Schizosaccharomyces pombe: one gene and its partner. The gene in region 1 interacts genetically with each later gene. Each region holds a gene or a part of one and is shown in the gene's direction. Other genes may lie near its edges.

The links.
Region 2: of hsp3101 (region 1) and glo1, extra expression of one rescues a mutant of the other (dosage rescue), as found in Schizosaccharomyces pombe (one study listed by BioGRID).

The regions. Positions count from the first base shown.
Region 1 is NC_003421.2:46,782-50,652, reverse strand, and holds hsp3101 (glyoxylase III Hsp3101), read left to right. Parts: upstream 1-2,151; 5' UTR 2,152-2,177; coding exon 2,178-2,912; 3' UTR 2,913-3,328; downstream 3,329-3,871. Other genes in the region: SPOM_SPCC757.04 (transcription factor), read right to left, coding at 27-51, 101-126; SPOM_SPCC757.02C (epimarase), read left to right, coding at 3,741-3,871. UniProt on the Schizosaccharomyces pombe protein: Catalyzes the conversion of methylglyoxal (MG) to D-lactate in a single glutathione (GSH)-independent step. May play a role in detoxifying endogenously produced glyoxals. Involved in protection against reactive oxygen species (ROS).
Region 2 is NC_003423.3:2,444,468-2,448,564, forward strand, and holds glo1 (glyoxalase I glo1), read left to right. Parts: upstream 1-2,089; 5' UTR 2,090-2,230; coding exon 2,231-3,139; 3' UTR 3,140-3,390; downstream 3,391-4,097. Other genes in the region: vacuolar amino acid transmembrane transporter Fnx1, read left to right, coding at 1-1,457; gfa1 (glutamine-fructose-6-phosphate transaminase), read right to left, coding at 4,024-4,097. UniProt on the Schizosaccharomyces pombe protein: Catalyzes the conversion of hemimercaptal, formed from methylglyoxal and glutathione, to S-lactoylglutathione.

The DNA.
Region 1 (3,871 bases):
AGTAGATTTTTAAAATTTAAAGGTACCTTCTTCCGACGGCAAGCTAAACATCTGTTTAGTTAGAAAAGACCGAAAAACGAAAACATGTAAATCTACTTACGACAAATGTCGAATTCGATGAGACATCGCAAACTGTATCCACTAATGTTTCATATGCAACAGATCCAACGATAGTATTGGTATTATATCGTCTAAAAAGAGATAAATCTAACCTGATCAACGTAAGTATTCTCGTGATGAATAATCTTTGTAAATAGCGTTTGAAGAGCAAGCGTTCACTATCCATGTGGCTCATTAGTCCAAATACTGAAATAAAAGAGGTTAGCCGACAGTAATGAAATTAATCTTCGCCGTAACCGACATTCCTAAACTTCACTAAATAAATATCGACTTGCTAAGTATCGTTAACATATATGATTAACAAATGTTGGTACTAAAATTTACGCATGGTTAATGTTTGAAATAATACTAGCAGAGTTTATTCCTAAAAACCTCAACATCAAAAACGCTTAATAAAAAGTAGTTTAAAAAAATTTATTTATTACCCTATTTTTTTCTTACTAAAAGAGATCTAAATCTGTGAAAGTCTACTTTTCAACATCAAGAAAATGCACTTGTGCAAAACTGCTTTAAAGCGTAAACAAACGTTGGTTAACTAGTGCAATAGTAAACAATGTTTTCGTTTTCAGAATAATTCTTTTAATATCAAATGGGATATATGGAAACACAATAATGTCCTGAATAGCTCACGCAAGAAGCAAATGAATATGTTGTTTCTCCAGTAAAAAATGGGATACTCATTATTTACGTTTCTCTAGTATCCCCTCAATTGAAATGTATATGAAACAATTAGAAACCACATTTAATTAAACACGGTAAAGACCATGGCAAATTCAATTGTAGTATATTTCCGCATATACGTTATCCACACAGTCGCCACGATTGTTTAGTAGGTATAAGTTACGAATGAGTGTAAGAGAAAGAACGAAATACAAATTTTTGCAAGCAAGGAACACATCCAGAACTTTCAATATTTTATTGGGCAAAATATATTCTCAATCAACTGTTTTTATGTTTCAGTAGACAATTAAAATACAGTTTCTGTCAGCTACGCTGTTTGGAACCTGTTTAACGATACATAGAACTGCGGTGAGTTTTATTTGCGACCTACAATATAGCGGTATGCAATATTTAACTAACAATGTATATTAATTGTTATATGAAGTCTATTAGTATCGGTGACCATATAGCTAATAGCTAATAACTGAAATGAGAAACGAGGGTCAATTGTAGCTCTATTTATAATCTTTCTAATAGTTGCTATCTATGTAGATAGACAGATAGTTTATCTGTGCTTTTCACTAATGTGTGGTGCAGTAGTATCTTAACATATGACATATAGTGATACGCAACGCAGTGTATTATAGCGCAATGTAAGTAGTTGACATCTTATCTTTTTAATGATTTCGAATATAGAGGCGTTGTTGGTATAAAATTATTCGAGCTCTAATCTAAACGTAAAACAGTATAACGTGGCATACTGAAGAGCAAAAAAAGAAAAAATATAATTAAAGTTGCGGTTGGCGAGTGTAAATGAAAAAAACTTAAACCTCTTATTTTATCTGAATATTCAATAAACTCCAATTGAATAGATCAAATTTACAGTTGTCTTTTGAAACGAGCAACATTCTAGCTTGGTATGTTCATATAGTAATAAAGTACTTTAAAAAATTTCCGTTCACAATCATAGACTACGAAATTTTAATTACGCATCGCTCACAATCCTAAAACGTATGAGGAAAATCATGATGATAATTGAAACTAGCAAAAAGTCCTTGAAGCAAATCTCTCAAATCAAGATGAAACTTATACACTAAACAATACAAAGAGATTTGCATTTTCTCAGTAGCGATCGCAATGTCCTTCTACACAATAGAATAGAATTGTGCCGAAACCACTTTAGATTCAAACGTATCCATCTGATTTTAAGATGAATTTAACATCATATTGACACAATGCCCTCGTCACTCTTTCTATAGAAATCCAAGAACCTGGTAAATAGATTACGTGAGTAGTCGTAATGGAAATTCATCCCGCTTTTGCAATTAAGTGATGTTTTTTTAAAATTTGTTATTTATTGAGGTGAAGCTGCAAAGATCACCCATTCATTATACACCATGGCATCAGAAGGAAAAGTACTTCTCGTGGCAAGCAGTTACTATGGACCATTTTATCCAGATGGAATGAATACTGGAGTTCACTTTGCGGAACTTTTGATTCCCTATCAAGTTTTCAGAGAAGCGGGTTATGAAGTTCAACTAACTTCAGAAACAGGAAAATGTAAATTCGACGACCATTCAATCAAAAAATCTGCCTTGGGTGAAGTGGAGAGGGATGCTTTTGACAACAAGGATAATGAGTTTTGGTATGCGCTGAAGGATATTAAGCCTGCCGATAAAATTAACTACAAAGAGTTCTGTATCATGTTTATTGCAGGAGGTCATGCAGCCATGTTTGATCTACCACATGCCACAAATTTGCAAACGCTTGCTCAACAAATTTATGCAAGCAATGGTGTACTTGCTGCCGTCTGCCACGGTCCAGTTATGCTGCCTTTTGTAGATGACACCAAGTCACCAGAAGGACGTTCCGTCGTATATGGTAAGAAGGTTACCGCCTTCAATAGTACTGGAGAGCTTGTAATGGGTGTATCAAGTGCTTTGAGAGAAAGGAACATGCAAGATCTGAACAGCTTGTTTAGAGAAGCCGGTGCAGAGTTCGTTGACCCGCCTACCCCGATGTCCGATTTCACTCAGGTAGATGGAAGAATTGTAACAGGTGTGAATCCAATGAGTGCTAAATCTACAGCGGAGGCTGCCATAAAAGTTTCACAATCTCTTCGCAAGACATGAACCATCCATTTTTGTAACGATTCTTTTTTTACTCTACCTGCTAAATGCCTTGATGAATTCGACATTGATGAAAGCGTATAATTGATGGCTTCAAAGATCGATCATTAGTTTTATTTCGATGACTAAGAGACGGTTGTAAATAGCAACTTGAGCTTTAAAGACCAATATTAATGACACTTAAATTTCTAGAATAGCGAGAGTTAATAGTGGAACAATTTATTGTTTTTGTTAGTAGCTGGATTTTATTGGATTTATTTATTATTTCCTTTTTATTTTAGATTGTTAGTTTTTGAACTAATTACGAACAGCTTGTGAGGTTTCAAAAATGACTTTTAACCATCCAACCAAGCAACCTTCCAAGCAACCTTCCCATAAAGTTAACAGTTTATAGTCAGGTGTTCTAAAACAATTAGATAAATATTCATTGTTATGTTTTTCCATCAGTCGCAAGGGGCATCACTGCAATGGTGCCTCGATTTCTCTGTATTCAACTTGCTTGCTAAGCTCTAACAGCGTCCCTACATATAGTCAGCATTATTAAAATACCTTTTGTATTTCATACCTCAATCAAATATGACCATACATACTTGCAACATCATACTGTTATTATCACACCGACATGTGTTCACTAGCTATTGTGAATTTCACAAACTAGAACAAGTCTATAGTATGGATGATGTTACTAGTGATATAGCAAAAGTGAATGAGATCATAAAATTTGGGTATAAATTAAAGCATAAATGCTATATATATATATATATATATATATATATATATATATTTCATATATGCGAGATTTCTTAAAAGATATTCAAAGTTAGAAACACAATGGCAGAAGAAGGTTACGTGGCTATAGTGACTGGGGCAACAGGATTAAATGGTGCAGCTATTATTAAGAGACTGTCAGAGGATGATAATTGCAAAACTATACACTGTATTTCTCGTTCGTTGAAAGATGA
Region 2 (4,097 bases), on another chromosome or scaffold:
ATATGACAATTGTTGCAAGTTTATACCCTGTAATTGGTAGTGAATTCAAGTTAATGAATAATGCTTCCTACATTGTTACCGCCTATTTAATTACAAACACCGCTTTCCAACCTTTATATGGTAGACTTAGTGACATCTTTGGACGACGCCCTACCGTTGTATTTGCAAATGCTGCTTTCACGCTTGGAACTTTTTGGTGTGGTATATCGAGAAGTCTTCCGGAATTGTGTATGGCTCGCGCTCTCGCCGGCATTGGCGGTGGAGGTCTTGGTACCATGTCTTCCATCATTTCGAGTGACATCGTTTCATTGCGTGAACGTGGTACCTGGCAAGGTATAACTAACATTGTTTGGGGTATCGGAGGTAGTTTGGGAGGACCATTGGGTGGGTTAATTGCTCAAAGATGGGGTTGGAGAACAGCGTTTCATTTTCAAGTCCCTATGGGAATATTATCCACCATACTAGTTGCTTGGCGTGTCCGCGTTAAACCTACCGTTCGAAATTCCAATGCATCGTTGCTTTCACGCATTGATTACTTAGGCAGTTTTCTTCTTGTAACGGGCATTACGGCACTGGTAGTTACCTTTAACATGGGCGGGGACGCATTTCCTTGGGTTTCTCCAGTTATCATTACTTTGCTTGTATCTTCTGTCCTTATTTTGTTCGCATTTTACTGGGTCGAAAAGAATATTGCTGTTGAACCAATTGCGCCTGTGGAGATCCTATCTCAGCCTACTCCCTTGAATGTCTGTTTGGGTAACTTTTTCAATGCGTTTTGCAGTTTTGTCATTGTCTACGAATTACCCTTATTTTTCGAAACGACGCTATTAATGCCATCGTCTGAGGCCGGTGTTCGTATCTTTCCTTACGTTATCTCCACATCTGTTGGATCTCTTTGTTCAGGCTTATACATGAAGAAAACTGGCAGGTATAGAAATTTGGTTATTGCTGGATTTTTTTTCATGTTGATGGGTATTGTTTCCTTTGCTGTTCTTACTTCTTTCGGTCACAGAACACCCTTAATATTAATTTCTCTCTGTTTGGCAATGACCGGATGTTCTTATGGAATGAACCTAACTTCTACCCTTATTGCTATTATCAGTTCTTTAGCCCCAGAAGAACAAGCTGTTGCTACAGGCCTTTCCTATCTTTTCCGTGCAACAGGTAGCGTCATTGGTATCAGTCTTTCCCAAACAACAACTCTTTCAATCCTTATGAAGCAGTTAGCCTCCAACTTAAAGGACGATCCGGATAAAGATGATTTGATTCGACGTCTTCGAGAAAGTATAAGCATCATTCCAAATCTCCCCAAAGATATCCAAAAGCTAGTCATAAAGTCGTATGCCACTGCTTTCACATGGACTTTTGCCTTAGTTGCAATTATAGCTTTTGCTGGATTCTGGTGCTCGCTGAGGATCAAACAGTTTTATTTACATACCTCTGTTGATCGTTCATAAATTATATCCTAAGGGGATTCTGATTTTCTACATATTGGTAGATAAGTCATATCAGATTTTTGTTTACATTTAGATTTTATTTACAAGTTTATGTTATATACTTTTGAGTTCCATGATGGTGATGAGTCATATTGTTCTTCAGGTTCCACCACTATCATATTTAAACGGATTCGCTAAATATTTTATTTTATTTTATTTTTTGCTTTGAGGAAGTTGTGTATCCTTCTTTACACTAGCATCAGAGAGAGCACACTTTGAGACTTAATTATGATAACAGATTGGATTACAAACGATTGTTTAGCTACAGATAGGTTTGTTTCTCTCTTTTTAATTAAATTATTTCTCTTCATAATATTTTAATGTAAAATTGACTAATCAGAACGCTGATATTCTCTTTGTATACTAATTTCTTCTTTATTTACAATGAAAGCTATATACTTAGCAATTTGAAGATTCATTATTATCACATACCCCATTAGCACGTAAATCTTAATAACGATATTGTGATATAAATCTATAAGTTCTATAACGAAAGCCAATGGACTCGTACATGACATCAATTCTTTAGAAATCTACTGGTTAGCATCTTCCACATCATTGATATAAACTTACTTCGGTAATTTTTTAAACTTGAAATTTCTTTGTGTTTCTGCTTCAATACACATCAATCTTTTTGCTGTTTATATTCAGTTTTTTGATTCATCCTCGTCAACAACGTTGCTATAAGTTTATATATATAAATTTACAACTTAACGGGTATCTTCTTTACGAATATGGCTTCTACTACTGACATGAGTACTTACAAACTAAATCACACTATGATTCGTGTGAAAGACCTCGACAAGAGTCTCAAATTTTATACCGAGGTGTTTGGTATGAAACTCATTGATCAATGGGTTTTCGAGGAAAATGAATTCTCTTTGTCGTTTTTAGCTTTCGATGGACCTGGAGCTCTAAATCACGGAGTGGAACGTAGTAAGCGTGAAGGTATATTGGAACTGACTTATAACTTTGGCACTGAGAAGAAGGAAGGCCCTGTTTATATCAATGGTAATACCGAGCCTAAGAGAGGATTTGGACACATCTGCTTTACTGTTGATAACATTGAATCTGCTTGCGCATATTTGGAATCCAAGGGGGTTTCTTTTAAGAAAAAGCTTTCCGATGGTAAGATGAAACACATCGCTTTTGCCTTGGATCCTGACAATTACTGGATTGAGCTTGTTTCTCAATCTGAAACTAAGCCCAAAGCTAATATTTCTAACTTTCGTTTTAATCATACAATGGTCCGTGTTAAGGATCCCGAACCTAGTATCGCCTTTTATGAGAAACTTGGAATGAAGGTAATTGACAAAGCGGATCATCCCAATGGTAAGTTCACCAATTATTTCTTGGCCTATCCTAGCGACTTGCCCAGACATGATCGTGAGGGATTACTTGAATTGACTCATAACTGGGGTACTGAAAAGGAGTCAGGACCCGTTTACCATAATGGCAATGACGGCGATGAAAAGGGTTATGGTCATGTTTGTATTTCCGTTGACAATATTAATGCAGCTTGCTCTAAATTTGAAGCTGAGGGGCTACCATTCAAGAAGAAATTGACCGATGGCAGAATGAAGGATATTGCTTTCTTACTGGACCCTGATAATTACTGGGTTGAGGTCATTGAACAGAAGTAAACAGTGACGCCTTGTCTTTTTAGAAACGTTGATTATGTTTGAAAGTGGTGTGGGGAGAATTTTTAGTACATGTTTTTTTTTTGAGGTAGAAATATATTATTTTCGCTATGAAATTTAAGTATCTATATTCTCCTTTTTTTCATTTAGTGATTTTCGATATCCATTACCTTCAGTTCGGACAGGAATTGAAATAGAATCAACCCTAATATCTTTGTAACGGGTAATAAAATAACAAAGTAAAAGAAGAGAACTTACTCATTTTTTTGTAGGAAATTACGTTTAGTACATCACTATTGTAATTGTACACTCATTCTATAGGAAGAAACCACGATTTGGGTTCCCTCCCTCAAACTAGAGTAATTTTTATAGCAACAACTTCATGATGAAGTAGCAATATAGGAATATTAGAATAAGTTTTCAAATATTCCATTTGCAGTTGCAGAAACGTAATTTAATAGAAGCACAGAAATTATTACGATATAGTTACAAAACTTCCACATTCAAAATCAACTTAAAAGAGCATAATCATGAATTGATATTCAATATGAGAACTCCCAATTATGCAGCATTGTTTTCGTTAAATGACCATCATTAGTTTCCAAGAGATAACATTAAACCAAAACAAAAAATCTGATACACTGCAAAACTAAGCAACTATGCCTTCATTGCAAACTAAATCAGATTAAATTAAAAATGCATATAAAAAGAATATCTTCCATGAAATAAACACATGTACATCCTCGTGAACCGGCAACCCATCCTTTTCTATTAATTTAATGAACGACAAAAAGATTGGCTTGTGCCCCTTAAAGGATGCCAAAAACATGACAAGCGACGTGAAGCGTAAAAACCACATAATAATAAACAATGAGGGATAATCAAATTTATTCCACCGTAACTGATTTAGCCAAATTGCGTGGCTGATCAACATTGTGGCCACGTTTAACAGCTAACCAAT